Bombyx mori: one gene and its partner. The protein of the gene in region 2 interacts with the protein of the main gene of each other region in a biochemical or structural test. Links are inferred from orthologs where the notes say so. Each region holds a gene or a part of one and is shown on either strand. Other genes may lie near its edges.

Region 1 (17,579 bases), on a different chromosome or scaffold from region 2:
GCTTTGGTAAAATTTAAATAATTTAAGTATTTTTTGCAATACATAAAACAATTAATATTTTTCAATTAAAAATTCCCAAAAAAGGTATAAGTTGAGGTCGATTATTTTTATTAAATTATGAAATTTAAACAAAACGAAATAGATATTAAATTAAAAGTGATCAATGATGAAAATAAACATTGAAACTTAGTTTATTTATCTACAATGTAAAAAAAACCTAAGATCTTTAAAATTTCACACCGTCTTGACAGCTATATTAGTTGTTAAAATAAATTTGTTAACTGCTTCTTTCACAGCTGCTGTCGGTCAGTTGTCAACTGTCACAAATTCAACTGAACCGAATTACAAGCAAAACGACATATCTTGTTAATGTCCCTTGTTCATAACACACGCCTCATACTTTAATCTTCTTTTCAGCATATTTTTAATTTCATACAATTGTATGTTAATTTAATATTGCTATTGGAGACACCTACCCAGTCTTCGGTGTCCAGAACCATGGTTGATGTCACTAGTTAACACTGTGAGACGCACAACACGACTGGCCACAATTCCGAATGTTTCCAGCGTTCAGGGTTATTTTCTGCTGCCTCACGATATTCGGGGCTTTCGAATACTTTCCGTGGTATAAAGAAGGAGGGGAGCGCGGGCGGCGGGGTCCGCCGGCCCCAAGTCCTCCCCGGTTTCCTGTGCCACCGCTGACCAATCGCGTGAGCCTCAAACGGCAGGATGCTGAAGTATTTTTAGTAGAAACGTGGTTATGAAAAACGTAAACAAGCCATGCGTGCGCGTGAACGTCCGCCCGCCCGCTGTAATCTCGCCGCTCACCCAGTAAATGATCTTAGCGTTCGCTCTCACTAAATGTGAATAATTATAATTTTAAAGCCGTTTGTCGTGTGTAGGACGTTTACGATTATGATGTAAAGATATTTTTTTCATAATTTCTTTGATCAGTTTTATTAACTTTATATAAAGTTGCTGCTTGTAAAACTTTTTTTTGTTTTAATGAGAAAATTTAAGATATTACGTTTCTTGTGTTTTTTAGGTCACAACCTCACAACTCAGTTATTTTTAATATATTGACGATATTAATAAGTTGCTTGATATTCGCTATCACAAAATGCATTAATGACACAGGTGAAGGCCTAATAAATTAAAAAAAGTAAGAATTAAAATATTTAAAACGAATACTGTGGTTGTGAAGACGACAGTAATTTATGCTAATTAAAAGCTTATGATTTAAGAGTTCGAACACTCTGCATATTATACATCAACATGTTCAGCGATGCTTCTTGTATGTACTAAGATGAATAGTCTTCGAGAGTTGGCACAGTACGAGTCGCACGTCCTACAGGTCCTAGTTCACTGACCGCGTTGTAGCTTTGATAGTAAACACCTTCGATAATACAATTACTAAAGCAAGGATTAAAGGAAAATTGCCCGTACTTGATAAGACATGTTTAAATTAGTCAGGGTATTACTGAGAAATACATTTAACAAATCAGGATTTCAAGTCGAGTGAGATTTTGTGGAAATTGACGATTAAAAATTAATAAAGTCCGGACCTCACACAGAAACTATTGGATTGACAATTACGTTTTTCAACGCCCTCATATAAATACGCTGTAAGATCATTACGCACGACGCGACGTGATCTGATAAAATCACTTTCGGAAATTAGATATAATACGCTTTAAATTTATTATCATTAAATTTGACTGGTGTTATTCCATCTATAATGTAGTCATAATGGGTGGCTGCCAATACGAATGTGCCGGTCATAAATCAATCGCATTTTTATGAGCACTGGAAAACTCGAAACGGGCTATTTTGAGAAACGGTTATGAACTCCGCAGTTCATAAAACAACTCGAATTCAGGACGCATCTAAAACGGACACCGCTTTAATTTCAACATCGTTATTAGTCGAATAAATTATGTTTGAATAATCAAATGGACAGTCCAAGTGCTATCTGAACAGGTGCCTAAAGATATTTTAAGTTTAATATAACGTTATCTACAAAGATTCGACTAAGCGATTAAACGTTATATTTCTTTAAATATTAATGTTAAAAAGTTTACAGTGTGTACCGACATCCCACGCTATTCTGATTTGTTTATAGCGTGCACGGTTACGGAATGATACGCTTCAACATGAAATAATGCTCCGACCGAACCTTAGCCCAGTTCGTGTTTATTGTGTATGTGATTCTGAGTTTTATCCCGTACAGCTGGTTGCCGTATAATCCGTTTATAAATAGCGTATAGACAACAAAGCGTCAACAAATTTTCACGTATCGGATACCGACCGCTGTCGAATAATGTCTGGCAGTCGTAAATGCTCGTTTAAATTATTAAAATCGTTCTATTTTTTTGCACGGGCCTCTTCATTGTACTAGCACATTAGAGAGGATTTATGAATACTGTGAAATCCAAGTCAGATAACGAGCAGTTGTACTTGTAGATTTATTAGAAAATCGTTTTGATTAGTTAGATATGGATTCCTTCGAAATGTTCGGACTACTTCGGACAGATGGTCTATTTATAAAATTTATATTTACTATTATAATCATTTGAATATAGAGCGTGTAGTGTTTTTAACTTATCAGCACAGTGATGGAAGTATTAGAGCTCATGGTGGTTTTTGTTGTAGCGATTCATCTCGACGACCATTTAATTAATATGTAGGTGGAATCCGCATATCTGAAAGACCAACTTAGATTCCAAGAGGGTGCTTAGACAGTGGGCAGTTGTCGAACACTTCTCGCAAGAAACTTTTAATAAAGTTGGGATGATTTTAATAATCTAGTTGGATACCTCTAATTTAACCTCTGACTTTCTACATTTCTTTTGCATCCTGAAGGTACCTATGTCATGAATAAGCGAACGAGGTAAGTGGTATCATCTCCTTTGTCATCAGATATTCGACAGGACTAGTTTTGCACCAATTAATTGAACTGTTTAATTGCTGCAAACAGGTCAACGAGTCCACAGCCCAACTAAAAATTACCGGAGCCGAGGGATATTATAGCGTGGCGCCATTCGTCCGGGATGTGTACGCTGACGAAATATGGGACTCAGTATATCCAGACTGCTTGTCTAGCCATGGATGGTTTGACATTAGAGGGCCAAATACGAATAACGTACGAAAACTTTAAAACAAAAAAAGGATCAGCCTGTATTGTTATTAATACAGCTTTTATTTCAGTACCTTCGAGATTTAAGCTCTTATCTTTTTTTTCCTACCAAAGCTGATAGCCTTGAGAGGCTATTTCAGCGTAACTTTAGCTAGTAGGTGAGCTCACGGGGCTCAAACCGGAGTGATGCTAACACTGATCTTAGCAAGAGCAGTGCTTGCAGAATCTACCACTGGATCGGAAACGCGACCCACTGAGAAGATCCGGCGAGAAGCTCATTGGGCCATAAGCTCTTAGCTCTTGAAACTTTTTATAGTAGATGCATAAGTATTAAGTAGTTCATTCGCAAAGCTACTCTTGAGTTGTTAGGTCTCAATTGGAGGCGCTCGGGTAGCTGTTAGCAAATCCCGCCCTTCCTGGCTGAGCCCTTGCTCGCCCACCTACCCTGGTAAAACTAGAAAGGCCTACGGGCCACCAGCACTCTTAAACATAAAAAAGTGTGTTGTGTAATAAGGGCACAGATATTGTGGGGGGTAGGTACCGTCATTTACTTACATATTTCTGCCGCATCTAAACATAACCGTGACTGTGAACCCGTGTGTAATCTAACACAACAAAATGTGGACCTGGGATACACTTAGTCTGGCCATAAATATTGTTACAATTAAAAATAAACTAAATATTACATTTGAATTTGGAATCTATCATTTTAAATGATTGCTCATTGAGTTTTCTCATTTTGGCGCCAATACATTGTACAATATTTTGCGATATTAAAATGGAGTGGGGTGATAAAGAGAACCGAATCGCTGTGATTGCATTACACAAAGTAGGTATGGAGCCAAATGCAATTTTTAAAACTCTCCATACGCTTGGTATTAGTAAAATATTTGTGTACCAGGCTATTAATAGGTGCAATGAGACCTCCTCTGTTTGTGACAGAAAAAGATCTGGCCGTCAACGTAGTGTTCGTACGAAAAAGGTGGTCAAAGCAGTAAGGGAAAGAATTCGAAGAAATCCTGTCCGAAAGCAAAAGATTTTATCTCGGGAGATGAAGATAGCACCTAGAATCATGTCGCGTATTTTAAAAGATGACTTAGGACTTGCAGCCTATAAGAGACGTACTGGTGATTTCTTAACTGATAATTTAAAACAGAATAGGGTGGTAAAATCGGAACAACTACTGAAGCGGTACGCAAAGGGAGGTCATAGAAAATTTTTGTTTACGATGAGAAAATTTTTACAATTGAGCAACATTTTAACAAACAAAGTGACCGTATTTATGCTCAAAGCTCTAAGGAAGCTTCCCAATTAGTCGACAGAGTGCAACGTGGGCACTATCCGACTTCAGTGATGGTTTGGTGTGGTATTAGCTATGAAGGAGTGGCTGAGCCATACTTTTGTGAAAAAGGTATCAAAACATCGGCACAAGTGTATCAAGATATAATTCTTGAGAAGGTAGTGAAGTCCCTTAACAACCCCATGTTCAATAATCAAGAATGGTCCTTCCAGGAAGACTCGGCGCCAGGTCATAAAGCTCGGTCTACGCAGTCTTGGTTGGAAACGAACGTTTCAGACTTCATCAGAGCTGAAGACTGGCCGACGTCTAGTCCCGATCTTAATCCGCTGGATTATGATTTATGGTCAGTTTTAGAGAGTACGGCTTGCTCTAAGCGCCATGATAATTTGGAGTCCCTAAAACAATCCGTACAATTGGCAGTGAACATTTTTCCCATGAAAAGAGTGCGTGCTTCTATTGATAACTGGCCTCAACGTTTAAAGGACTGTATTGCAGCCAATGGAGACCACTTCGAATAAGCTTTTTATACTTTAAATTGTTTTATATTTATGTATTAAACTAACACACTGTAAAAGTAATAAATGTTATTTGCAATAGATTTTTTTTCCTTTGTCTCAGTATTTATGGCAAGACTAGGTAGTTTCAATACTAAGCAGTACGTCTTATCTCTTAGGTCATGAATTTATCCGCTTTTTGCAGTGCCTAATATTTTCATTTCGTGATGCAGTGTTACTGACGGTCGGCGATGACGTAAATTTCTATGAAAATGTTATTTTTCCTGTATGCAGTAAGTTTATGGCCGCATGTGTTGATGTACGAGGAGGGATCAAAAAGTAATGAGAACAACATACTCGTTGGTAAGAAAACTAAAATAAAAATAGTGGCAGGCATAGCTCAGATACATCTTTGTAATATTAATTTAAAAAAAAAACTTCGATTCTCTTTTGTTTTTTTCTGAATGTAGTCATTTGTTTGTTTCGTGTCGGAACGTGTTCTCGAAAACGGAGAAAAATGAAGAACGAGCCGTTATTAAATATCTCTGTTTAAAAAAGTTAACGTCGCGAGAGATTCATTGCGATTTGGAGGCAATATTAGGAGAGTCTGCTCCACCGTATTCCACTGTCGCAGGGTGGGCCTTCTCAATTTCGAGTACGGAGAATGAGTACGGAAGTCGAACATCGTTGCGGCCGTCCATCGACGTCAGTCACCCAAGAGAATATTGCGAAAGTCGAGAAAATTATATTGAGCGATAGAAGAGTTACCATCCGATACTTAATTCAAGAAACGGGTATTTCATATGGAAGTATTCAATTCATATTGAAACAATCTTTGAATATGAGAAAAGTCTCCGCAAGTTGGGTGCCGAGAATGCTAACCGACAGTCAGAAACAAAGTCGACTTGACATTTCGAAGACATTGTTGGACAAGTTTCAAGAAGATTCTGAATTTTTTTGTCTCGTTTCGTAACAATGGATGAAACATGGGTCCATCATTTTGATCCCGAGACAAAACAGCAATCTTCGCAATGGAAACGGCCATCATCACCGACTCCGAAGAAGTTTCGTGCCGTGGCATCGGCTGGCAAGGCTATGGCCTCAATATTTTGGGACTCAGAAGGGATATTGTTTATTGATTTTTTTGAAAGGGATTGAAGCTTTGGAAAAGCGCTGGACTCGCTATGTAGAGAGACTCGGAGACTATGTAGAAACATAAATTATTAAGTTATCAACAGTCATTATATTCTATCTCATTCTCACTACTTTTTGATACCCCCTAGTATATAAGTCGTTCCTTTGCGAAACTATGTTAAGTTGCAGATATAGTTTGTTTTACAATGATTGCCAACATTATTACCACTTTAAGATCGCTTTAGAATTCGTTAGCACTGCAGTAATAATCAGTGTGGGTATTGGAAAGTCAGGCATTGAATGATAATTACGATTAACGACTTACATCAATTTATATCAATAAATTTAACAAGTATTATTAATAAAAAAAAATACAACCAAAGACTCGTCAGCAGACAGAAGTGGTCGTGGACTAAAATATATGACGCCCGGTGCATTCATATCGAGCGATGCCATTGTGCCGGTGATCGAATCCCGTAAGCAGGTATAAATTTTTCTAATAAAATACGTAGAGCTACTTAACAGAGGCTCATGAATAACTTTTTTTATTGCTTACATGGGTGGACGAGCTCACAGCCTACCTGGTGTTGAGTGGTTACTGGAGCCCATAGACATTTATAACGTAAATACGCCACCCACCTTGAGTGTTGAGTGGTTACTGGAGCCCAAAGACATTTATAACGTAAATACGCCACCCACCTTGAGATATAAGTTCTAAGACTTCTAAGGTCTCAGTATAGTTACAACGGCTGTCCCACTCTACAGGCCGAAACGCATTACTGCTTCACGGCACAAATAGACGTGGTGGTGGTACCTACCTGTGCGGACTCACATGAGGTCCTACTTCCAGTAAAAATCGATCGACTCCAGTGACCACTCAACACCAGGTAGACCGTGAGCTCGTCTACCCATCTTAACAATAAAAAATACTTATTTAGACAGCTTTACTATTCAAAAGAGAGTGAGTATTTTATTTTGTTAGTTTTTGCGGGCTTGATTCTTATTACACGATGCTATTACTTCACTGTGGAAGTCAATCGTGAACATTTGTTAAGTACGTATTTCATTAGCAAAACTGGTACCTGGGGGTTTCGAACACCGTTGCATCGCTCGACACGAATGCAGCGGACTTCTTACCCTTTGGCCACAACAAATTCAAAATTACATTATACAACAAAATTGAGAATTCAACTTGTGTATGAAGGTGCCGGGGGGCATTCAGGTCAAAATGTCCGTGAACTGTGGTAACCGTCCAAATCCAGGCTGTATACGAGCTTCTCCACCCATCTAATGTAATAAAAAACAATTTCAGATAAATCAATAACAATTTCACTTCGCTATGAAGCTATTCTTTTCAAAAAAGGTTGACCTTTGAATTAATCCGAATCGAAGTATGAAGAATTTATTGAAAAAAATATTCGAATAAGGTTTTATGAAATATCTTCAAACAATGTAAAGAAAATAAATTTGTAGCTAACCTAATGTAACCAATGAATCATTTGGTCTTATCTATGGAGCCACTCACTGAGAATATCCGGGGAAAACTCAGGCGATTATGTCTGTGGATTAAGTTGCATGTCGAACACTTCGCCGCCCACTGAGTTTCTTGTTGGATATTCTTAGTGGGTCCGATTCAGTGGTAGATTCTGCGAAGCACTGCCCTTGCTAGGGCTGATTTTAGCAAATTCTCTCAGGTTGAGCCTGTGTGCTCATCTAACCGTAGTTGTAATAATTCCCGGCGAATAGGTAGGAGAAAAAAATATGATAAGAAGGCTACCTAATAGGTCGGGTTGCTTTTTCAAAGAAACCGCGTCTATGATCGCTTTTGGTCTAGAGACCTCGCCACTTTCCTAAGCCGGCTATTGTAAATTATTTTGTGGTCGTTTTTTGTAACAACAAACAAGGAATTTCAATTTTCCACGCTCGAATCGATTCTTTGGTTTTAGATTGAAAATAATAGTTTAAAATTACTAAAAAAAATAAGCTTTTATAAAAATTAAACTAAAAATAGAAAATAAATTTTAATAAATTTGAATTAAAAATAGTGTAAGAAAAAAATGATCTTATTGTAAAAAAAGTGTGGGTGGTTTTCAGGATATGTATTATCAAAATATTTATAACTGTTATAACCATGCACCCCACGGTTTCTTTTTACAATAAATTCATTTATTCTAAATTGTATATCTGTTATGGTGTATATATGGTGCTAATATAGATCCATTAATTTTGAAACTTCCTGTTTTTATTTATTGTTTTGCATTTCTCTGCTCCAGTCTTTTAACGTACATGATATTATGTATTGTCTATTTAGTGTTTCTTCAGGTTTAAATGTGTAATAACGTTGGTTTATTAACTGTTTATTATCTGTGAAAGTGCACAAATATGGGAAAATGAAACAAAGTCGCTGGACGTAACTTCTCGGGATCCTTCAAAAAGTCCACTGAAAAAATCAGTAAATGACCACCATTTTACTGAGATTATATTTCATCGCATATAATCTCATCATATTTCATTTAATTTTATCCCAGTTGATTAATGTCTCAAATTAATCATCTTCATTTCATTTCATGTCATGTTTCACTTCATTTTATTTCATAATGTCATATTTCATAAAATAAAATAAATTTATAAAAGATTAGGCTGTATGGTATGATACTTTTGCCTTTCTATTTGGAAAAATAAAATTACTACATTACGAAGAGAACAAAATATTTTATGTTTATTTACAATACATATGTACGACGACTGGAGCAGAGAAATGCAAATCAATAAATAAAAACAGGAAGTTTCAAAATTAATGGATCTATATTAGCACCATATATACACCATAATAGATATACAACTTTACATTTTAAAATGAATAGCTACGTTATAAATTCATTCGTCGGCGAAGGCTCATTTGGACGTGTTTTTAAAGCAAAACACAAAGATACCGATGCTGTAGTAGCCTTGAAAGTGATAAGGAAGGTATTTATTAAGTTTTTATGACTTTAAATACTTGGTGCCTTCATGATTTCCTAATTTTTTTCTATAAATGTATACCATCAATACAAATAAATTACAAAAAAAACTTGCGAGTGCTTATTAAATCTTCATTTCCACTATTTCCAAAATAATATATTTAATAAGATCATTAATAAAGTGTGATAAAATAATAATTGTACACACAGAGAATGTTATTAACCAGGTTTTCTTACTAGTAAAATTTTAAATGGTCTTATTCAGTTATCATGATCCCAATGTCTTCGCTGTCATAGATATCACGGTCAAACCTCTCGTCATCCACATTAGTTAATAAACAAATATTCTTACACAATAATTCAACATTTTCAGAAAGGTCGCTCGTCTAAAGACTTAAAATGTTTGAAGCAAGAATGCGACATACAGAGGCAATTGAATCATCCAAACATAATTCGGATGATAGACAGTTTCGACACTGATACAGAATTGGTAGTTGTCACAGAATATGCTGAGAAAGAACTACATGGAATATTGGCTAAGGAGGGTTGTCTTAATGAAGAACAAGTGAAGAAGATTACTTGGGACCTTGTGTCTGCACTGTACTACTTACATTCTCATAGAGTTTTACATAGGTAACTTGTTTGTTTCATATTTTATATCAAATAATAATACTAAACACACATTATTAATATTATATCATTATTGATGTAAATAATAATTATATCTAAACATTTTTTGGACCTTGGCAGGGGGCATAGCTAGGTGAAATCAGTATAATTTATTCATTTTTTCTCTATAGCCTGGCTTATAATAGAGACATTCATCTTATATCTCAATGTGGACAGTTATATTGATTGGTTCTGGATACTGAATCTATTAAGATTTATTTAAATAAAAAGATTAATTTGTAAAAAAATTGAGAGTAGGATAGAAAGTTATTATTGTTCTTATAGTTAATATTTAATTTGATCTGAGCTTTTAACGTTGAAATTGGATATTGAAGTAATTCTCATTGCATAAAATTGAGAAAGAAAATAATCATAGAAATATCTATGATTCATTTATTATGATTTTATATTATTCCTGAACATTTATCATACAAAATAACAATTTTAGAGACCTCAAGCCACAAAATGTGCTATTGGATAGTACAGGACGTGCCAAACTCTGTGACTTTGGTCTTGCAAGAATAATGACAAATGCAACACACATTTTAACATCCATCAAAGGCACACCATTGTACATGGCCCCCGAGTTAATTGATGAGAAGCCATATGATCATCAGGTAATTATATTAAAATAGCATTATATAAACAAAGAGTTATACTGTAATTTTCTGTGGAGATGACATGTTTTTACCTATGTCTTCCGTCTGACCTAACTATTCTTAGTAAAACTATAATTAAAAAAAAAAAACTGGTCAATCTGTTGCTTTGTTTTGATGTGAAAGGGCATACAAATACACAATCTAATAACAAACACACTTTCACATTTATAATATTTGTATAGTGTGGAAGTATGGATACTTAGTATGCATGCTGTTCCATCAATGCAGCTATGCTATTATATTATATAGTAATACTTTCAATTTTCAAAATTACATTAATTATTCTTAGTAAAACATTATTTATAACAATAATTGACATATTTTAGAGTACTTTTATTTTAATTTGTCCTTAGCCTAATTAATATAAATCAATAATTTCAGAGATTTTCCTGTACGTAATTAAAAAAAAAAAAACATGAATTTATGCTAATGATAGTTTATTCAACAATATTTTTATGTATGCATATATGGTAGGGTTTATATATTAATTAATCACTTTGCTATAAACAAAAGTGATTATATCGTTAAAACTTCATTTTATACAGATATTTCTGTCACTTTTTATGCACAAATATGCATCAAAACCTCATGGAATATTGTTATTAATCCTAAAGAGTTGCAAACATTTTTGTACATTACAGGGCTCCTTGTGGAAAATTTCAGCACCTATAACAACAGGAGTTAAAAAAATTTGCTATCACAATACTGACTAAATATCAATATAATAATTATCCAAATTGTTTTTTTTTAAGTATAATAATATGGGTGAATAAGCCACTTTGTGCTATGTGGTTACCTGAGCCCATAGATATCTCAATGTGTTTGAGCACACCTATTTTGAGACATTATATTGAGATCTCAATTGTATTTTTATTTTGTGTATTTTTTTCAGGCAGACTTATGGTCACTTGGCTGTATTGTATATGAGCTAATTGCTGGGCAACCACCTTTCTGTACAATGTCTATATGGCAACTTGTCCGCATGATTAGACACAAACCTGTACAGTGGCCTAGTTTCATCAGCACTAATGCTCGGACCTTCCTACAGGTTTGTTTGCTTTTGAGCTCTCACTTCAAGCTTTTAAAACTGCACAAATAATTTAACATTTTACGTTTAATTAAGTTATACTATTTGTACCATTAGTTTAATAGTATTAAAATATTTATTTAGGGCTTATTGCATAAAGATCCTTTGAAAAGAATGAGCTGGCCAGAAATATTGGAACATCCATTTGTAGCTGGTCACATTCTTATTCTACCAGAAGACGTCCAGAGTGAATCACCATTTACCAAGCCTTTAACACACAGTCAGCAAGAAGCCAAGCAATTGCAGCGGGAAAAAATATGCATTGGGAATGCAAGGTAATAAAAATTACTTACAGATATATCAGATTTGTAATTAATATCAGAGTTAAAGTTAAAAGAACTTCAACACAGAATAATATTTAAAAAATTAATTTTAAATACATTTACAAAATTGATTTTCAAATAAAAGTAATCACAACAAAATATAGTATATTTAGAATGTATTATAGTTAAACTAATTTTGTAAAAGACTTTCCTTTGTCATTAGAACAAAAAAAATGGAAGGTGATCCACTAAGACTTGTAACCAAAGAGCATGATTTAAGGAATGTAAAAGTCATGCAAGCTTTGGAATGTTTGCCTATGTCTGATGACGACAGTGTCAGGGCCACTAGCGCATTCAGTGTTCGAGACAGCCTCAAAACTGATGATGAAGAGCAAGCATATCCCATTTCAGTAGCCAATGCAAAGCTTTTACGACATGAATATAATGTAATGAACAACAGTAATCTCCTTGTTTGTAATCTAGAAAACAATATGGCACAGCTAATGGCTTGTAATAAAAAACAGATAGAATTAAATACAAAGAAAATGGAGAAAATAGATGAAGAAAAACATATAACAGAAAAATCTGAAGAATCTAAAGCGGATGCAGTCAAATGTGTTGAGGATGAACAGGTTACTGAATTTAAACAGAAATCTAAAACAACAGATACTGCCTCACACAGCTTAGAGAATCCTAAAAGTTCAACAAAATGCAGCAGTGATATTAGTTGCAAGTCTGGATTAAGCAAAAGTGTACCACCTTCATATAAGCAGAAAATATTACAGTTCTCTAGGGATAAACTAAGGTTTGGTAGTGGCGGGAATAAACTGACAAGAAGCATTAAAAGATCATTTAGTATTCGAAGTTGGGATAAAAAAAGTGATAGTCAGAGAAGAATCAGTGAACCAACTGTGGAAATACCAAGTATTATTAGTGCTGAAGAAGAAAAACATTCAAAGGAAGAAAAGGATGAGGATGTTGAGAAGTGTGAGGTAATTGAAGATATACCGAATGATCGAGATGTTGCAGATAATGATAGAATTCTCAAAGTCGAAGAGAATAACAAACCAGTTGGTAAATATATTAAATTTAAAAGAATGCTTAAATTTGATGTGTTAAAGTAATATCCATAAATTTTAATACCAAAGTGTACATTTTTTATAATGGTACTTAAAATTTCAGAGCAGGAACCATCAAGCATTGAACTAGAAGAATGGGAGGCTTTCTTGAATTCAAATATCAGTGAAGTTATGGACGGCGATGTCGAATCTTTGACTCAGTTGAATATGGTATATTTATCAAATAATATTGTGGATTGTGTTGGATTCTTCATAGTTTTAATGATTTAATGAATTTCAATATTTTTTTCCTTTTTGTTCTTTACGATTGAAGGATTACTGGTGGCCCGGAGGCCTTTCCAGTTTTACCAGGACAGGTGGGAGAAGACAAAGGGAATTTTTAATTATATCAACCATATTATGCAATGCATATTGCCGCAATTCAGTGGCTGACAGAATGCACAACCAAAGCCGATGAAATAAGAAAATATTTGTTTCCTCTAAACATAATGCATGGTGCCGTAGACATAATTAAAAGTGCTTTTACATTATTTCTCATGTTTGGAATACTTCACAGTTTTCGTAGTCACCGACGACTATATCATATTTTATATATAAATGAAATAAAAATTAATCATAAATAAATTATTTGAAACATCGATAATATTATGATATGAACCGTAAATTTTTTTTAATTGCTTTTGGATTTACGAGCTCACGGTCCACCTGGTGTTAAGTGGCCCATGGACATCTACAACGTAAATGCCGCCACTCACCTTGCGACATGAGGTGTAAGGTCTCCGTTTTAACAGTACAACGGCTGCCTCGCCCTTCGAACTTCGCATTACTGCTTCACGGCAGAAATAGGCATAGTTTGTATTAAGTTCCGTTACCTGTTTGCAGGTGAGTATGGTGGTTGGTGTGGTGGGCAATGCAGCGCGCGGTGCGGGGGGCGGCCGGGTCTGCGGGGCTGTGGCTGCGCTACTGGCGCTGCCCGCTCTGGTGCACACCCTGCCGAGACACACGCTACTCAATATACAAGATGTTAGTATTTTTTGTATTCTATAATAAATAAATATGAAAATGCTAGGAATTAAACAAAAATAACAATTTTGTTTTTCCTTTGATGTGTCCCCCTTTTGTTTGTTTTATGTTTATTTCATTCAAAAGTTTAGGTCTTTTATTTATCGATTGAGGCACTACGAAGTCTGCCGGGTCAGCTAGTACCAAATAAAACTCACCTTTAATTACAAAGATAAATGTAGAGTACCTACTACGCGAAATGTCTCTTAAATTAAATAGCCTTACACTCCACGATATAATAAATGAAATCGTTTTTCAAATGAGCGACTTTCATTCACCAGGTATATTTGGAGGCGAAAGTGCCTTATAATTTCGTAGCAGCTATAAACACATTAATGGAGAACAGTGAGGACAATGACGACGGAGCAGAGGATAGGTAAATATTACCATTTTGAACTTGTAAAAGGTTTGCTTAAAATCTGCTTAAACTAGATTTGCCATTCCTAACAAGTACCGCAATTTTCGCATTTAAAATTGTATTTTTTTTATTCGCAGATTACAAGGTGTTAGTCGTATGGTTGAAGTGTGTGCGTGGCTGTGCGTTCGTTCCTGCAGAGGAGTGAGACAGTTTGCCACTGCCCTAAGTGCCTACAACGCGTATCCGGTGTTCACTAAACTGCTTAAGCTTGGTAAGAGCGCCATTCTAATAACATTAATAATAATATTTTTATTGACCGCGACTTGGATGTTAGTACAAATTGAGAACTACGTTAGAATATTTAGAGCTATAATTGCACTGCAGCGATTCACGTAGCTGCAGTCCAGACGGCAATCGTGTTTAGGATGCGATGAAAACCACCCCGCCCATTGTACAATTATACCTGCTTGTTGACTGTTTTTCAATGTTAAATATGTTTTGATGTGCAATAAAGTACACTTTTCTCTCTCTCTCTCTCTTTATCTCACACACGCGCGCGCGCAGGCACGCACGCACTTACTCACTCACTCACTCACTCACTCACTCACTCACTCACTCACTCACTCACTCACTCACGCACACACGCACTGGATTGGACAACAATTATTCCAATGTTTTCATCTGAAACCCAAATTTTAAAGCCTAAAAATTTTTTAATATTAATTCCAAAACTAAATTCCCATACTGGAAAAGGAATAGAGAACCCTCTCTCAATAATCACTAAATCACCGCCCATCAAACGATTTTTTTATCTAAATCTTACATTTTATTTTATGAATATAAGTTAAAGTGAGAGTTTAAAAATACGTTCTCATTAAAATAAGTAAAGCGTATAATTCTTAATATTTCGTTACAGACACGAGAAATCCCAGGATAGTCCTGAACATAGTCGGTCTCCTGATCACCATACTGCAGGACCTACCGGAACTAGCTGACGTTGTCGAAAGAATACTATTCGAGGACAAGAGTTTTAATTTCATAAATCTACTCGAACAGCCAAACGACGCACTGAGAATGAGAGTTTGTATACTGATAAGTCTACTTTGCACCTTCTCGTGTACCGCTTTCTCTGCAGCAATGGAAACGAAATGGAGTAAGAAGGAGAGCGATAGTTTGGAAGCGCTCCACGGTCATTGTAACGTTACTCTGAACAGGGCCGCAAGACTGGCCACTAAGGAGCTCAGTAATATGCCTTTTTATTCTAATTAATCGAGGAAAGATTGAAATTTTATTGGAAAATTTCATGGTAAATTACGTAAAACGAAACGTATTTCGAACACAATATTAATATATTATGCTATTGGATGGAACGATGTAGGAATAATTTGAGATAATCGACTTATCTTTGTTTGCTACATAGACGAGAGATCCTATCTAGTATTTAGCTGATACCAGTGGCTATATTATTGTTGGATTGTTTACTCTTTGGAGGGCGAAATAGACTATTTATACAATATATTTAAGATATACAATATACTTCGGTATCACTTGGCGACGATAAATTTGTGATTTCTTAGAGGTCCGGTAACAACATATCATCAGGTGCGCTGTCTACTCTTTCATCCATCCATAAATAGAAAAGTTAAAACTGTGCTTATTATAGCTAAAAAAGATCAAATAAGCAGATTATTAAACTGTAAACTTGTAAATAGAAATAAATAAACGTATGAAATAAATTTTCAATAAGCCCATATATATTGACAAGTACTTATCGGATTAAAAGACGTAATATATTTTTTTTATTAAAAATCTTAATACTCACTGCCATTTTAAATAAAGACTGATGTTTAATTCCATTTACATTTTGTGAGCAATAAGGAATTGCAAATATTTACATTCTTAATGTTTCTGATTATATATTTAATCATTCATGATTATGATTAACTCCAAATATTTTCCTTTTTCTATAACCCGTCTAAAAAAAATAGCCTGAACGCGATTCGACTTCGTGATGTCATATAGACCCAAAATACACGACAAAATAACAGAAGATCATACACATCGATTTTATCATAAATTGTCTTGATGATTTGAAATCTGACATAGTCGTCGCATTCAGGCCACGATTCCAAAGAAATATTCCGCTGTAATCCGTTGTAATCAATTCTACTAAAATAAGATTAAAATGATAAACGAAAATAAAATTTATAAATGAACAGATTTTTTACACCCTGTATATTTATTACTAAAATGAAATCGCATCTAATTGTAATCAGAAAATATAAGTAAAGATATCAACTATAATACATCGAATATTAAATTTAAAACTTGTTTTTTTTTTCAACCCAAATTATTATTTTTTTGTAGAAAGACAGCTGATCTCACGGCACATCTTCAGATATGAAGTCGATATATTCATTGTACTATATTATAATAAGGACTGTCCTGCACGTTCAAACAGCAACGTAATGAATGGTTCATAGCAGAAATGGTACGAATATTCTCTCCTAACCATACAAGTTTACAATGTACAGCACAGGACAATGTGCATCAGAAAAAAATTTTTTTTGATTGCTTAGTTGGGTGGACGAGCTCAGAGCCCACCTGGTGTTAAGTGGTTACTGGAGCCCATATACAACTACAACGAAAATGCGCCACCCACCTTGAGATATAAGTTCTAAGGTCTCAGTATAGTTACAACGGCCGCTCCACCCTTCAAACCGAAACGCATTACTGCTTCACGGCAGAAATAGGCAGGGCGTTCCCAGGACTCCCAAGAGGTACTACCACCAGTAAAAAAATCACTGACTTGCTTTCTACCTATTGCTTAAAAAACGATACGCTCTTAATGGGATTTTGAAATTAGCGATTCTGGAATTAGATTTTGCAAGTTGAGATAGTTGTATACTTCCAAATGATTTCTATAGCAACAACGAGAACCCTAAATAATTCAGCGCCTGTCTTTATGTTGCAGCAATGTTACTCGGAGATAAATTATCTTCTATATATTATTATATAAAAATTAATTGCTGTTCGTTAATCTCGCTAAAACTCGACAACGGCTGGACTGATTTGGCTAATTTTGGTCTTGAATTATTTGTGGAAGTCCAGAGAAGGTTTAAAAGGTAGATAAATATGAAAATGCTGGGAATTAAATAAAAATAACAATTTTGTTTTTCCTTTGATGTGTCACCCGTCGGACGGATTTTGTTTGTTTTAAGTCAATTTTATACAATAGTTTAGGTCTTTTATTTATCGATTAAGGCACTACGAAGTCTGCCGGGTCAACTAGTAATCAATAGATATAATGAAACTGGAACTAGGTGTGTTTGTACACTGAAGAAAATAATGAAAACAGAAGGAGGGTAACTAATGAAG
Region 2 (17,334 bases):
TTAATCTTGGGGTAAAATAGATATTCCTTCTATTAAGTCAAAACTAGAGCTGTTGCCAGGTCTTGGTTCAGTTAAAGCGAAGCTGGTATTTGTAATTTTTTTTTCGTTATCATAATCTTGACCATCATCATCATCACTGTTTTCATCACCCGAGTCGCTATCATCGTGATGAGTCGACATAGGGCTCATCGGCGTAGTTTACAACTCGGTCGATTCGGTCTTCTTTTTTGTCTATAATTAATTATTTTTTGAAGATATTCGATTCGTAGTAATCGAATGTTACTTTTTTCATTTACCAGCTTCCGATTATTTTCTGTTCTTTTTTTCCATCTGAAGCCTAGCTCTTTCATAATTCGTCGTAAGCTTCATTCCGAGCCATTAAAATTTATATCTTCTTTAAATTTTTCCAAGCCTTTCTACGGTACGGAGTTTCGCTGCTTGTTATGTAGTTATTATGATTACATCTTTTTATTACAGACTGAACGAAACTATCCATTCCGGTAACTTTCTTCTTCCCTGATCTTTTCTTACCCGGAGTCCGAAACACGGCGAGCAAGCCAGAGCCTTTAGCTTCGTTAATAATGCACCTAACACTCACTGATGTTTTTGTTGCTTCCGAAGTCTGTTTTAATTTTTCCATATCATTCTTCCCCTGTTTTATAATGAAGCAATATACGTCGTACACAAATTTTCTACCCTTTCTTTTAAGTACTACACCAGTTTGTCACGGCATAGTGTATGTTTTATAAAAAATCAACAAACACTCAACAAATAGCAATGGCAACAAAGTCCACAAGCAATTATAACAAATAACTTAACGATTAATAACGATAGACTTTCCACTGTACGCAAGCGTACTTTTGGGAGCAAGCGGAATGAAGGCGCGGTGCGGGACGAAAGGTTCGACTGATCTACCAATAACGCGCTCGATACGATTTCCCCTGCCGTCACCCGCCCGCCTCACCCTCACCACCAAAGTGACCTAAAATTCGGTTCTGCGCAGTCAAGGTCATTTGCTCAAGAAGTTTGCCGATTACTATATGTAGTGTGTGTAACGTTTTTTTACTGATGTAATGTATCTTTTAGGCATTATTTTAAAAAAATATTAGCATTGTGCACTTCTTCTCTATATTCTCTAGAAGTGTGGAAAATTTCATACTCCTCCGTCCGTGCAATTTTCGTAAAAAGGGATACAAAGTTTTTGCTTCACGTATTAATATATAGATTAGTTGAATCAGATAGAATGTAGACATTATTGGAAAAAAATGTTTACTAACCTTACGCGTGTTGCTGGTAATAACTGTAAGTTAAAAAATACTTATTATCGGTATGGGAAGAAAAAAAATCCAACAAAACGTCTTTCCTAATCGAATTTATTTTGAATTACAATACGCCTTATTAACCTCGAAAACATCAAAATTGTTAATGTTAATTTTATTAAACAGTCTTACAATATGCATAAATATATTTACATGAGGCATAAAAATGAAAGTACATAATTACTTTATAATTGCATTGATTCTTTGTGCATCAATAGTTTTAAAATTAAAATAAGAATATACATGAAAATACAAAATAAAGTAACATTAAATACAAATAAAAACATAATTAAATGTCAGTGTTTCTTGCTTTGCTGTACAATAACAAGTTTGTTCTTCTCTTTCGTGACTTTTGCTACTGGTAAATTTGTTGCGGGCATCAACTGACGCAGGTTCTGACTAGGTATGATGGGAGGCTGAAAACAAATGTATTTATGTATTATTATTTTTTTCACAATTATTTCATGTTTTTTTTAAATTTTAAGTTTGTAGCGTGGAACATTGAAATATCGAGTCGCACTCGGGTATCATCGGGCGCGATCGGAATTCCCGAACGCGCAGCTGTCCCGTGACGTCATCACAACAAGATTCGTGCGCCGATTTAACTTAAATATAAAATCGAGATTTTAGTTAATTTAGTATCGTCTAGCGTCGTTTACTCATTTTTGTTTATATTTTAATATTGTATGTACATACATCTGAAAATTAGAAGTATTATTGAAATAGTGTGTTTAACTTTGATATATTATTCCGAGTGAAAATTTCCCGCGAATACGGAGAAAAATGACAAACCACAGTGGTGACCCCGACGTGATATGAACACGCAACCTTCTGATTTAAATTTAAGTTAATTTAGTTAAAAGTTTAATTTTACGTTAGTTAGGTTTAAGTTTATAGTTAGGTTTTGACTGACAGGGTGGTACCAAGGCAAATAGACGTGGGTTTGATTCCCACATTGGGCAAAGATTTCTGGAAGGAATAGGTTTGTTTGCTTTCAGTCTGATTGGTTGATATCTTTATTTGTACATATATAAGAGTACATAGGTTGTCAGTTCCCGTAGTACCGATAATCCTAGTTGGGGCCAGTGTTTTATTGAAATTACTCGTCCGCTCGATATAATTAACAATGCATTGAACAACAAACATTTCTAATTTCTACACCTTGTATGGGATACGCTGGCAAAAAAAAAAGACAGATGACATTATAAAACCGAGCAGCACTGTTCGCTCCCAAAGTAAACTGCAACAATTTTTTTTTTTTAATTGCTTGGCTGGGTGGACGAGCTCGCAGTCCACCTAGTGTTAAGTGGTTACTGGAGCCCATAGACATCTACAACGTAAATGCGCTACTCACCTTGAGATATAAGTTCTAAGGTCTCAGTATTGTTACAACGGCTGTCCCACCCTTCAAACCGAAACGCATTACTGTTTCACGGCAGAAATAGGCAGGGCGGTGCTACCTACCCGTGCGGACTCACAAGAGGTCCTACCACCACTAAGAGTTATGAGTTTCGGTTGGAAGATTTTAAGATTACTTTAATTGGGACTTTGACCTGATTGACGCGTTCATAGTCGACGTCATTAGCATCTCCTCCGCTTCATCGCTCCAGTGGCATTTTAGTTTTAGCTAATAAAATAAACTGAAGAATGGTTCATGAGTGAAAAAGGTTTGGAAACCCAGAATTTGGTGCTGTTCTATACATACCGGATTGCATCTTGCAAGCTGTTTCATTCGGTCGACCAGGCGCATGGCATCATCCGATGTTTCCGAATCTGTTGTCATGCCGAGAGACAGGGCCCTCTCTGGGTTTCCTCCGTCCAAACATCGATGAAACGATTGGAAATGTCTAGAGGACAATTTAACATAAGCATTCATAACCGACGCATAAGTCACAAAAATACTTATATAGTAAATATTCAGGCAAGTGTTGAAAAAATAATTGTTTAAAACTATAAATAAAAACGCTTTTGTAGCTAGCTTATCTAAAAAGAAGAAAATAAATCTCTATAAGTGTTATAAATAAAAATGGTGATTAGAAAAATGCATTCAATATTCCTTTACATATATACGTATATCACACTAATAAAAGCATGTTCAAAATCAATATCTACATATTTCTTACCATAAACATTCATTTTAGGATTAGAATTTTAATTTTAATGTACGAATATTTTTAGTTTTGCATATTCAGATTAGTTATAATTCTTAGGGTATCTCTTTAAGAAAATCTGAATAACGTCCTGCTCTTCTGATATAATTAACGACTTTACATGATTAATCTGAAGATCTGGTTATATTTACTACACTGACCTTCTCTAAGTACTACTAGGTGCTAATAATTGTAAGTAATGTGTCTACATCATTTTTCAATTACATCTATATCTTATTTCGCCCTATTTCTTACAGTAAGGAATGGAGGAAGGTCGCGTCATGAACCCAAAAAAAAGAAAATAATGAAATCCTTTGGCCCACTTCTGTCTCGAAGGAACGTGGTTTCTAAGTCCTAAGGGCAGGTTTGTCGTTATTGCAACGCAACTGACACATTCATGTTTTAATGTCTCTATCTGACTCTGATCGTGATTCTTTTGTAAAAAAGAAATTCATTTATCTATAACTAAATTACATATCAATTTTCAAAACTACTAAAGAACGTGAATTTTCTGGTAATTAAAATCTATACATATAAATAAAATTGGAGTGTCTGTTTGTAATATTGAAATAACCGCTTTTTACTACATGCATATGAATATATATAGACACCAAAATAACATTTTTTACAATTTTTGTTTGTTCCGTAATCCGTAAATAATGTTCTGCAATCTCTGGAACGGCTGGACCAATTTTGACGGGACTTTCACTGACAGGTAGCTGATGATATAAGGAGTAACTTAGGCTACTTTTTTTAGACTAGCTTCGCCCCGCGGCGTCACCCGCGGTACGACAATAAGCGCGGGTAACGTCGCGGGACTCAACTATCAATAATAAAATTTAATGTTTCCGTAGCGAAGCGAGGGCGGGTCGCTAGTCGTAAATAAATGTGTAGCTAATAAAAATAACCTAAGTTGTGCAAATCATTACCTCGTGTGAGCATGTGATCGAACCCGTTGCGCGTGTCTCCAAGCCGCAGCAGCTCGGGCTCGCCAAATAGTAGCCTCTTCACTGGCAGCCGCTACACCGGCTTCTAAGGCAGCACATGCGCCACGTAAATCCACTACCTTAATAACCATTGAAGTTCAATTAAACGTATCAAATAGCGATCTGCCAGAAAACATACCAAATAAGAGAAACAAATTAACTATTATTACATTTATTATTACACATATAAATCTCTAACGAGAATCAAAACGATCAAGATAATAAAACAGAAGATTAAGAAAAAAAAACCCATTGAAGTTTAAATTCGAATCCATCAAATTCCCTTACAAAATAGTTTTATTGTGACTCGAGATACTATCTTTTTGGATACATATTTCAAATAAAACAAAGCTTTATCATGCATAAAACATAATTATTAGCTTTATTATGAAGATTAGATTCCACTGGCATAATTTATTGAGGTGATCAAAAGCACAACGAAGTGTTCCAGAGGACTCATGAAATTAGGAATGAAAGTAGGAACGCAATGGAGAAAATTGCTTCTACATTATTTCTTTATATCGAGTATAACATGACAAAATCTTCGTAATAAGGTGACACTACAAAACTTGTACCTATACGCCCCGTCATGACCTATGCAAGTGTATTATTCGCTTACGCGGCTCGCACCAAGTTGAAACCCTTTCAAGTCATTCAATTCCGTTTTGGCAGGATAGCCGTCGAAGCAACATGGCTCCTAAAGAACCTGGATTTCAATTATGACCTGGAGCTTGACTTAGTCAGTACTTACTGACTGAGTTCAGCTTTACAGTCGGCATCATTGCACCACTTTGAGAAGGCGGCACGACATGAAAACCCTCTTGTCGTGGCCGCCAGTAATTACATACCCGATCCGGTGGACCGAATGGTAAACAGTCGACGTCGCCCTAAACACGTCATTACGGATCCTCCAGATCCATTAACGGTGTTTTTAGGTACCTCAAGCACCGGTCACCGTCCTCGCCAAACCCGTCGCTTGAGACAAAGGGTTCGACGAGTAAATTAAGCCATAGACACAGCCCACTGAGTTTCTCGCCGGATCTTCTCAGTGGGTCGCATTTCCGATCCGGTGGTAGATTCTGCAAAGCACTGCTCTTGCTATCGCCATTGTTAGCAACACTCTCGGCTTGAGCCCTGTGAGCTCACCTACTAGCTCGGTGAATCTAGAATAATCCCTCGAGGTTACTAAAATAGATAGAAAAAAAAAGAAAATGCTGTACCTTTTGAAAATATCTATATAACAATGTCTTAATTTCATCATGTGAAAGTTTATCCAGTCTAGCCATCAACATCTGTTCTCCTCTACTTCTTGAGTCCTTGTTGTCGAATGAATCAGACAAAGATGCAGATGGTGATTTGCCACATATTAAATTGTTCTTGTACTCAATTGCTGTGTCTATTGCTTCTATAGCTTCTTCACATTCGAGTAATTTGCGTTCCTATACAACATCAACCACAACATTTTATACAAAAAGAAAATAATTATAATTTTTTTTTTTCATTGCTATGATGGGTGGACGAGCTCACAGCCCACCTGGTGTTAAGTGGTTACTGGAGCTCATAGACATCTACAGCGTAAATGCGCCACCCACCTTGAGATATAAGTTCTAAGGTCTCAAGTATAGTTATAACGGCTGCCCCACCATTCAAACCGAAACGCATTACTGCTTCGCGGCAGAAATAGGCGGGTGGTGGTACCTAGCCGCGCGGACTCACAAGAGGTCCTACCACCAGTAATTACGCAAATTATAATTTTGCTGGTTTGATTTTTATTAAACGATGTTATTTCTTCACCATGGAAGTCAATCATGAACAAAAATTAAAAATATAAACAATAATTAATGAAAGCCAATAAATATTGTGTATTACGAAAATGGTCACTCACTTCAGAATCAGACAGGGACTTGTAAATTTTTCTCTTATGACCTAAACTACATCTTTGATCGTGTAAACATTCTCTGGTTTTTCTCAAGTTTTTAATTTCTTTTCTTAATATCACTTCTTTCTCTTTGGAGTGCTCTGAACTGGCTAAATCATTAGTTTTCTCCTTTAGTATACTGTCTAATTGCGTGATTCTGTTAGTGAAATGTTTCAGTGAATTAACTTTCTTATCTTTGACTTCAATTGAAGTGTCTGACAAATCATCCAGTTTTAATTTATCTTTTACAAGTTCTACATCTAAGGTATTTTTACGTTTTTCATCTTTCTTGATTTGTCTTTTTATTTGATCAATTTGTTTTTTATAAGTCTTTAAATTAATTTCATGTCTCTTGATTTCCTTCACAGTATCTTGTTCAACAAAATTAGAGTCTGAATTTTTATCATAAGATTTGTTCTGAGTATTCTGAGACATAGCTTTAGTGAGATCATCTATAAGCCTCTCTTTTGCAATACAGAGGTTTATCAATTCTTTTAGCTGTGTTTGACTACTACTTATTTCTTTAGATAGTTTTCTAGTTAATATCTGTTTTTGTGTATATTTTTCTTTTGTTATCTTATACTTTTTACAAATCTCTTCAGTCTTTGGAGAATCTATCATTTTGAGTAACTCCCTTTCAATTAATTTTGGTTCCGGATCCATGTCTTTTTTATGAGATTCTATTAGTATCTTTTGAGTTTCTGGTGAGATTGCTTTTGCTGCAACTTTCCTTAACAACTCCAGCTCTGCCCCTGACAAGCTTTCACCAGGTTGTATAGTTCTTCTACGTCCAGAATTGGAATGTGATGTCATGACAGGTAATGATTGAGACCCACTTGTTTCTGAAATTGTGATATCATCAGAGTCAATATGATTCAAGTATTCTTCACATCTATCTGCAAAGAGTTCATCATTCTTTTCCCTAAAATATTCCATAAATTTTTCGACTTTATCTTGAAATACTGTGTCAGAATGAGTATCTTCCTCAGAACCAGAATCTACATCAGATTCACTTAGTTCACTAGGCTCTGTATCTTCTGCTATTCTTGGTAAGCCTTGTTTTATTGTTACATCTTTGTTATCTAAAGTTCCATCTGCATTTAAACATTCATCACATTCAGCTTTCAAAAATAGCCATTCGCTAACTTGATTGATATCAGTTTCTGAAAGTGATTTTGATTGAAGGATCTTATTGAAAAGACCTTCAGCGTTCGAAACCAACTTAATCCATTGTGAAGTTGCAAATTGTAAATTGAAATTGTTATCAGCACTATTGATTGCCTTCTCAGAGTAAACTGGTGTATTATTATCAGCAAATAAATTCACTGTTACAAAGTTTTTGATTCCTCTACAGCAAAGGCAGAGGTTCAGTATCTTTAATGTGTCCTGGTAGTCTTCAGGTTCTGTACTAATACATCCAATGACCCATGTGAATGCTCTGCCTCCAAATGAATCACGCAGCATTGCTGTCAATATGCACTGATCATAATTAACCTGTTTAGAAGGATTTCCAGCTAATAGTTCTTTCAATATATTTTCTAAAGTATAAAGACCAGGATCAGGATATGCTGCAAGTTCACAAAAACTAGCAGTGGACATTCTATGATTCAAGGTGCCATTAGTTCCAACCCACTTTTGTTCAACAGTCACAGTAAACACTGTATGGTAATTCCCCTGGCATTGCTGTCTCCAACCTAGCTGTAAATACTGGAAAGCTTCCTCCACATTACAACACCTAACTAAACCGACTCCAAGAACATCAAATATATTATTGGTGACAACTTGCATCCATGTTATGTGAAGTATAAATTCTCTCTCAGACATTTGATTCAGTTTGTGAAATATTTCAGTTAAAAATCTTGGAACGATTCCTTGATCACATTCACTGTGAATGCACTCGAAGCCTGAAATAAAATCAATTTTTTAACAAACAAAAAAAACTACTTAATGTTCCTGTCAAACCAGTGCGAGGCTATCATTATAGGCTTATTACCTGGACCAAAGAGCGTGTAAGTTTTGCCAGTCTGACTCTGACCAAAAACAACAACAGATGTATCACAGCCATCGAGGAAACAGTTTATTTGAGGTATCATAAACGAATTGAACAGATGAGCCTGACTACAATCAACAGGCAAAGCTCGATTCACATGAAACGTCTGTCCACTTTCCGTAATAACAATTTGGGTTACAGGATTACTGAATATGCATTGAGTAGAATCTGCCAAGCTCGGGGGCTTCAAACGAATGGCGATTTGTACTGGAATATCCATAACTGAGGATGTTTGATAATAATACTAATCCGTACATTCGTATTTACTACGTAGCTGAATACGTTACTGTCTAAAAACCATATTTTAGCAGAAAAATCCCAAAAAGACAGGCAATGAAAATGTCGAAATACATTTATTTGTATTAGTTACAAGTTTATGATGACATTGACAAACTGTACTTTTTGACATTGACCAAAATTTCTTTTCTTTTAAAATTGATCTTGGATTATAATCTTATAGGCCAAATATTTTAAAATTCTTTCATTTTAAAATGATTCTACAAAAAAAAATTATAGCCCATTCCTTTAGATTAGATTAGACCCCTTACACCAGTGGCCGGCAGCCCGCTGCTCATGAGCCGCATGCAACCTATTTGTCCCCTCAGCTAGGGTTCTTCCGCGAAAGGTTTCGGTATTTAATTTTCATTTTATCATTTCCCTAATATTATCCGTGATTACTAAAGCAAAGCATAATTGTGTTAAAAAATGCTCTTTTAATAAATTTCAATTGTGTGTTATCTATCTAGTTAGCTGTTTTGGATGACAAGGTTGTCGACCACTGCCTTAAATCATTGAGTAAATTTATTAAAGTATGAAACCCATATAGGTCTATGAGTAAATTAATAAATGTGAACGACAATGCCGATGTTTGGGTACCCAATAAATTGTATTTAGCCTTGATTTTCGAAAATAGGTGCGTCGTTAGATTTTTAACCAGAAATACTAGAAAGATTTTTTGATGTATTCACTAAAGTGGATATCAGAATGAACAAGTGACGAAACTAAAAAATACTAAAAATGTAATTATTGCAGAATCAATAGACGGTCCGGTTCTATTTTTTTTTGCCGATTCTTCCAGCCTCTTAAAACCTCTTTCATATCGAAGCATTGCTGATGGTCTGAGATAATAAGATTCAATTCCAATCACTAACAGTAATTGGAATCTACCATGACGATCACCAAAATCACCGGTGACCGATCACTAAAAGTCGTATTATTACGAAATTTAGATTTTTTTATAAATTTTGTAATCATTTAATTGGTTAGAACTGCTTGAATTTCATAATGTTTTCGAGTTAGACAATTAATAAATTACTCACAAAATATCTTATCACCAACTTCAGAGTTCAACTGACAGCTGGCAATAAGTTAGTATTCGGCAAGTGGCAAGTGGCAATCTTTTCGTGTCTAAACGATCTTTTTCCGGCTCTTGTGTCAAACAAAGTAGGTGAATATGTGTTATTTCGAAAAAAATCTAAATAAATCTCGCATCCTACATAATTAAAATTCGCCACAATTATTTTTTAAATTATGTTTAACGACCTGAAATGCGTTATAACTGATATTTTAGTAATAAATTGAGAAAAAGTGTCAAAAAATTTGGTAAACATCTGTGAGGTTATGTTTCATACTTGCTCTTGTTTTTAGGCCCAAACATGAAGCAAATTGTAGCAAATCAGAAAGTCAAAATCCCAGACGGGCTTACGGTCCATGTGAAATCGCGTCTGGTGACAGTTAAAGGGCCCCGCGGAGTTCTCAAAAGGAACTTCAAACACTTGGCTGTTGACATTCGCATGGTAAACCCTCGTCTCCTGAAGGTTGAGAAATGGTTCGGATCCAAAAAGGAGCTTGCCGCCGTGAGGACAGTCTGTTCACATGTAGAGAACATGATTAAAGGTAAGTAACACTACTACTAGAACATCATTAATGTAGATTAATAATAGACTAAGAATCAGAAACTGGAGCACACAATCAAGACAAAATATCGTAGTGATTCTTAGTTTAAATTGACAAAATGTTGGTAATAAACATTGTAACATGTAAACAATAGGTGTATCACTGCAAGTTCCAAATTGAATGGATTTTTGTGTGAACAAAAATTTTACATGGACTTTTAAAAGTAGATAGTAAAATTTTTCTATGCTGTTATACGCTTTCTCAAGAGCCCCGCGATTTTGTTTTGAAAATAATTTACTATTTTAAACATTTTCTTTAATTTTTGTTATTTTTTTATTTTCATACAAATACAGAAACCATTTTAGACCTTGCAAAATCACGAGTAAAGCTGAGTGTCATTAATGATTCTAGCGAATTAAATTGCATGTTATATTAAGTTCAAATTATAAGGTTGAAGTCTAGAGTTTTGGAAAAGTGAAAAATCTTTTATGTTAATGGTTTCAAACATATCCATATATGTAATATGATGCTCTGACTTAGCATATAATACAAAGTGTGTGGATAAAATGCACAGTTGTATAATTTTATTATTTGCTTGTTATTTCAAATATAGAAACATTACAATCAACTTTGTAAGGTAATTTAGCTAAAGCAAGTTGTGATAAGCAGTGGCTTCTCTGTGCCTCTGGTATTGCTGTTGTCAATGTGGTAGGCTGTATGTTCGTCTGCCTACAATGGCCACCAGAAAAACAAAGCTAATCATTTTTAATTTAAATAAGTAAAATTTACTTCATAAAATTATTTTAAACTTGGGTGTTTAATAAATATTTTAACCAATTTTACCTGAGTTTTTCAATTTTAGACTATACCATTGGAGAAATTCCCATTTCTATAAAGTGGCACGACATGAGAACCCTTTCATCGTGACCTCCAGTAACTACATAGTCGATCCAGCAGACTAAATGGCAAACAGTCGCCCAAAAGACGTCATCTCGAATCCTCCTGATCCACTAACGGTGCTTTTAGTACCCCAAGCACAGGTCATCGTTCTCGTCGAACCCGTCGCTTGTGACAGAAGGGCTCGGCGAGTAAATTAACCCACAGGCGCAGCCCACTGAGTTTCTCACGGATCTTCTTAGTGGGTCGCGTTTCCCATCCAGTGGTAGATTCTACGAAGCATGGCTCTTGCTAGGGTTTGTGTTAGCAACATCGTCAGGCTTGAGCCCCGTGAGCTCACCTACTAGCCCGGCTACGCTGACTTGGTTTCTATAGACCATCAGATTAGGTAGGAAAAAAAGGGGGAAACGAAACACAAACCACATTTAATTTTTAAAAAGTTTTGTGTAAAACTGTGACCATGGAAACTGTAAATTCATTTGCCAAAATATTTATTTTTTAATATTATGAAATTAATATTATGAAATTAATTTTTTGAAACTTTTTGTATGTTGCATAGATGGATGAATGATCTAATAGCTAGCCCTTTTCTAGTGTGGTTACCAGAGCCCATAGATCATTAAGTGAAAAATTGGGTGGCACCCACTTTGTAGTTTGTAGTGTGTTAAATAAATTCAAAATAATAGTTTAGGGTATAATCTAATGTAAAATAAACACAAATGTAATGTACTCTATCCTTATACTAAGATTAGATTTGCTTTTTATTTCAGGAGTAACTAAAGGCTTCCAATACAAGATGCGTGCTGTGTATGCTCACTTCCCCATTAACTGTGTCACCACTGAGGGTAATTCAATTATTGAGATACGTAACTTCTTGGGTGAGAAATACATCAGAAGGGTAAAGATGGCACCTGGTGTGACTGTCGTTAACTCTCCAAAACAAAAGGATGAACTAATCATTGAAGGCAACTCTTTGGAAGATGTCTCTAGCTCTGCTGCTCTCATCCAGCAATCTACTACAGTCAAGAATAAGGATATCAGAAAGTTCTTGGATGGTCTTTATGTATCTGAGAAAACAACTGTTGTGCTAGATGACATATAAAAACATTAAATAAGTATAATAATATATTTGTTTATTTATTTTAACTAAATTTAGACCTTTAAAATAATTAAAAAACAGTAGGAATATGAAGATAGCATGTCTACTCCAGATAACTTTTTCCCATCCTGATCACTGACATCCCTGACATAGATTTGTTCCATCTTCCCATTGATATATAGCCAAAAACAGTTAGTGATTCTGCCAGTCTGTTTTACCTAATGCTGGATGAATTTAGTGATTTCGCCTTTGGAACTGTCTTTTCAACTATACACGCGAGCATAAGTTTGGAATCACTTACTTGAAATTGGTTCCGCGCGATCTTGGTTACTAAATAAATTTTTAATTATCATAAAAATTACATAATTTTAAAGGTTCAGCTGTCAACTTTAAATTGATACCAAATTCATTTAAAGCGGGCCAGTAGTTAAGGAGCTATCCCGGATTAAGTGAAGGAGGTAGGAAAACAAGGAAATATGGAAAAATAATGAATGAACAAAACAACAAAAATTAATAAGTAAAAGAAATTATTTAGCCTTAAAATTAAGTATCAGTACTTTGTGTTCCCTTCCCTCGCCCTAATAACTGCTCGAAGACGATTCTTCATAGACATGATCAGCTTCTGAATTGATTCTTGTGGGATACCTTCCCACTCGTAAATCAACGCCTATTTGAGTCGACTATTATCAAAGCCGGCAATCTGACTTTTGGACAATGATTGGTAAATCAGAAAAACGAATTATTGACTTTGTATTCCATTGGCAGTCACAAAACTCTTCGGAACGACATCTTAGATAAATAACAGGTTAAGTAATTAACCTTTATTTAATGCAGGTTTTGAACCGTATTCTTTGAAGGAGACGATTATATTCAAATCAATCTGTATTGACATATCAATAATTTTTTTTTGTCCAAATGCACAGATTGCCACCTTTGATAATAGACGACTCATTTCAGCTCATTCAGACATGAAGGAGCAGGAGTTCTGGAACGAAACTTCCTCTTCGGTTCATTCCACACGTGCTCAATGGGATTAAAGTCAGGGCTGAGTGATGGCCAGTGCAATGTGGCGATACCGACTTCTTCGAGGTATACAGTTGTTACACGGGTAGTGTGACAACGAGCGTTATCGTGCATAAGGAGGAAGTGATCACCGATATATCCAGCATAGGTAAAGACATGTTCCAGCAGAATATTGGAAATGTACCAGTCCGAAGTTAGACCGCCTCCTCGTCCCCCGCCAGGCACGAAAACAAGCTCGGTTTTACCATCGAAGGAAATACCGGCCCACATACAATGGCGCCCCCATAAGCCACTGTTTCAGCGAAACAGCACTGCGAAAATCGCTCCCCAGGCCGCCTGTAGACCCGACCTCTTCGGTCGCTACCGTGCAAACACATCTTGCTCTCGTCGGAGAAAAAGGCTTGCCTCTATTGCTCAACCTCCCAATCAAGATGGGTGCGAGCAAATTGAAGGAGAGCTTGTCGGTGAGCTACCGTGAGTTTCGTGCTTGTGGGAGGCCTTTTTGGAGTCAGATTCGCTAGCTTGAGTCATCGACAAAGTGTCCACTCGCTGGCTGCTACCCCACGAATATCTCGGAGCTCCTGTTGGACGTCGACACCATGTAAATGCCGATTTCGGAGAGAGGTTAACACGATAAAACGGTCATCCTTCTCCGATGTGCACCGGCGCTGTCCAGATCTTGGTCTCGGGATAAAGCCACCAGTCTCCTGAAAGCGCTTGTAAGCTTTCGAAACACAGGACTGGCTTATGTGGAGTCAACGAGCGTCAACCCGCAGGCTGAGCCCTTCTTGCAATAGGTCTACGATTTGTGCTGCTTCTGTAGGTGTTGTCTCCATTGTCGTAAAAGGTAATGGATCAAAGTTAGCGCAGATGTGTATCGGTCAACGTGTGAAAGTCAACTGATAAAGAAAATCCGATAACAGGTGCTTTTATAGGGGTCAATAAGTCGCAACTCGCGACGTATCAAGCAATTGAAACACGTCTTTTTCGTTATTCCGTTATTGAAACACGTTATTCCTTCACTTAATCCGGGATAGCTTCTTAAATACTGGCTTGATTTTAATGAATTTAGTATCAGTTTAAAGTTAAGAATTGAACCTTTAAAACGATGTCATTTTTATGATTATTAAAAAAAAATTTAGTACAAGAGATCGCGCGTAACTAATTTCAAGTAAGTGATTCCAAACTTTTGCTCGCGAGTGTAGATCTATCTTTAATTCTGTTTGAGCATGTACAAGAGGGAACCACCCGTGTCCCCGATATTGACGAGCACAAGCCTTCTGTGTTGGACTTTTTGCTGACCACCCATCCAGCCGAATACAGTTTGGCGGTCGACGTTCCGCTAAGATCGTCTGATCACTGCCATACCACTCTCGTCCTGATCGTCGAACAACGACCGGGTATCGAAGAGTTTGGCGGTTTATCTCAGCAGATTGCGATGGATTGCCTGAATTTTATACATCCTACCCATGGGGGTTCTGCTTTTCCTCTGGTTATCCTGAAGTCTGTATGGACCGTCTTAAAGACGTGGTGCTCCAGGGTCCAGGGGATGGAATTGTTTATTCTCTCCTCTGATGTGCCCGTTGAGAGTCGGAGTAAATCCTGGTATAATAATCCCAGTAGGGATGCTGCACACGTTCTAGCCGTTTGCATACGCGGCCTGGAACGATGCAAGGAGACCTCGAGATCCGAAAGTCTTAGAGGAAAGGCGGAAATATAACGTCGCTTCCCGGACGTACAATACAAATATTGCCGAATCGAAGTCGGAGCACGTTTCCAGAATTGGAGAGCTACTTAAGTGCTATCTCTCCGGGAGCCGTGCTTTTTGGTGGCTCGCCAAAGCTGCAGAAGGAAATTATTGCAGGTCTAGTGTCCCACCACTACGCAAGACCGATGACAATTTGGCCCATAGTGCGAAAGAGAAGGCTGACCTTCTGGTCAAACTCTTCGCCTCGAACTCGACTGGACGACGGGGGTGCCACACCACCTAACATCCCCTGGTGTGATAGTTCCCTGCCAGAGATCTGCTTCACACAGTGTGCAGTCCGGCGGAAGCTCGCGACTCCTGGACGTCCATAAGTGGAGTGGGCCAGATTGCATACCTGCAGTGGTTTTGGAAACGTACGCCCCTGAGTTGACATCTGCGCTAACGCGTTTGTATCACCTCTGATATAGTACAAGCCGGGTTCCGTCTTCATGAAAGACAAGCATTCGGCAAAACACTGCCCATATCCACCCTATCCCCAAGAAGGGCGACTGGTCGGACCCATAGTCTATAGACCTATCGCGATAACTTCCTTGCCTTCCAAGGTGATGGAGCGAATAATAAATACTCAACTCCTAAAGTATCTTGAGGATCGCCAGCTGATCAGTAACCGACACTTAAGGTTTCCGTCATGGTCGCTCAGCTGGCGATCTTCTTGTATACCTTACTTACAAGTGGACTGAAGCATTGGAGAGCAAGGGCGAGGCTCTCGCGGTGAGCCTAGATATCGCGAAGGCGTTCGACAGGGTCTGGCATAGGCCACTTCTGTCGAAGTTACCGTCTTACGGAATCCCCGAGAGACTGTATGATGATCGCTAGCTTTTTGGATGGACGGAGCATCACTGTCGTAGACGGTTGCTGCTCCGATACTATGACTATTACGCCCGCGTTCCACATGGCTCGGTGCTCTCCCCACGCTTTTCATCCTGTATATCAATGTCATGCTATGTCTGAAGTGGAGAACTCTCTGGGGCGAATGGAACTTAGTTCAATTCAACCCGTCGAAGACACAAGCTTGCGCGTTCACTGCGAAGAAGGATCCTTTTGTCATGGTGCCGCAATTCCAAGGAGTATCCCTGTAACATTCCACGAGTATGGGGTACGAGTATGGAGTACTTGGGGTCGACATTTCAAGCGATGTCGTTTCGGAGTCATTTGGAGGGCAAAGCCAGGTTGGCGATCAAAATACTGGCGAAATTAGAGCGATCCGGTTCTTCATACCTGGACAAAGACTTTTGCTTTATAAAGCACAGGTCCGGCCTCGCATGGAGTACTGCTCACACCTCTGGGCCGGGACTCCCAAATACCAGCTACCTACTTCCATTTCACTCCATACAGAAGAGGGCCGTTCGGATTGTCGATAGTTCTATTCTCACGGATCGCTTGGAACCTTCTGGGTCTGCGGAGAGACTTCGCTTCTCTCTGTATTTTGTACCGTATGTTCCATGGGGAGTACTCTAAGGAATTTTTCTTCTTGCTTCTGGAGAATATTTACTGGTAGGTAGAGGCTTGGCTCTATCCCTGGCAGTGCTGATTAAGCTAAAGCAAGGGTTCCCAAGCTTATTTTGTCTACTGCCTTAAATTATTTTTAGGGCCCCCATTTTTTCACCTACTTAAAAACTACTATAGCTCAGTAAGAGTCCTAGATTAAATTACAAATCGCCTCCAAAGCCTCTACACGACGCCCCCTTTTTTTCTGGGTCTCTTACCGCCCCGCCCCCTTTAGACCTGCAGCGCCGATAAGGGGGCGTTATCGCCTACCCAGGGAATGGCTCAGCTATTCCAAAAAATATATATACTTCTATTTACTATATACCTATAGGTCTTGGATATCTAATAAACGAACTTGATAATTGGGTATTTGGAAAGAAAACAAGAATAGAATTTTCAACGTAAATAATTTTATTCAAACTATTCTATTGAACATCACTAACTCATGAACATTGTACATCTGCAAATATGGATAGTTTTGTTGGATATTAGTCAAAACCAATAAAAGTAAGAAGTTAATTACAGTAAAATTAATCAATTTACACATTCACATCAATAAAATTATCTTAAGTGACAAAATAAATACTCATAATATATTCTCTACTATGTAATAAAGATAAATTATTATTAATTAATACATTAGTTACCTTAAAATTAAAATAAAATATATTTACAAGTTATTTTAGGAATTAGAACAAACAATTGTTGTTAGTTGATTATTAAAATTTTTAATATATGTC

What was found.
Region 1: the proteins of kinesin-like protein costa (region 2) and serine/threonine-protein kinase fused form a complex in vitro, tested with the Drosophila melanogaster proteins (4 studies listed by BioGRID, with this or other methods). The link is inferred for Bombyx mori from reciprocal best matches to the Drosophila melanogaster genes cos and fu.

The regions. Positions count from the first base shown.
Region 1 is NC_085116.1:10,502,197-10,519,775, reverse strand, and holds serine/threonine-protein kinase fused, read left to right. Parts: upstream 1-8,733; 5' UTR 8,734-8,920; coding exon 8,921-9,031; intron 9,032-9,397; coding exon 9,398-9,657; intron 9,658-10,141; coding exon 10,142-10,310; intron 10,311-11,244; coding exon 11,245-11,400; intron 11,401-11,523; coding exon 11,524-11,714; intron 11,715-11,925; coding exon 11,926-12,776; intron 12,777-12,884; coding exon 12,885-12,991; intron 12,992-13,652; exon of another isoform or gene 13,653-13,663; coding exon 13,664-13,804; intron 13,805-14,124; coding exon 14,125-14,219; intron 14,220-14,338; coding exon 14,339-14,472; intron 14,473-15,117; coding exon 15,118-15,470; 3' UTR 15,471-16,528; downstream 16,529-17,579. Other genes in the region: troponin C, read right to left, coding at 477-500. UniProt on the Drosophila melanogaster protein: Probable serine/threonine-protein kinase; maternally required for correct patterning in the posterior part of each embryonic metamere. May be involved in control of cell division during metamorphosis and ovarian development. May interact with costal-2.
Region 2 is NC_085118.1:7,785,029-7,802,362, forward strand, and holds kinesin-like protein costa, read right to left. Parts: upstream 8,820-17,334; 5' UTR 8,644-8,819; coding exon 8,367-8,643; intron 8,278-8,366; coding exon 6,341-8,277; intron 5,895-6,340; coding exon 5,676-5,894; intron 4,536-5,675; coding exon 4,399-4,535; intron 3,167-4,398; coding exon 3,025-3,166; intron 1,736-3,024; coding exon 1,616-1,735; 3' UTR 1,358-1,615; downstream 1-1,357. Other genes in the region: RpL9 (ribosomal protein L9), read left to right, coding at 10,079-10,319, 11,987-12,318. UniProt on the Drosophila melanogaster protein: Regulates cubitus interruptus (ci) processing by recruiting multiple kinases to promote its efficient phosphorylation.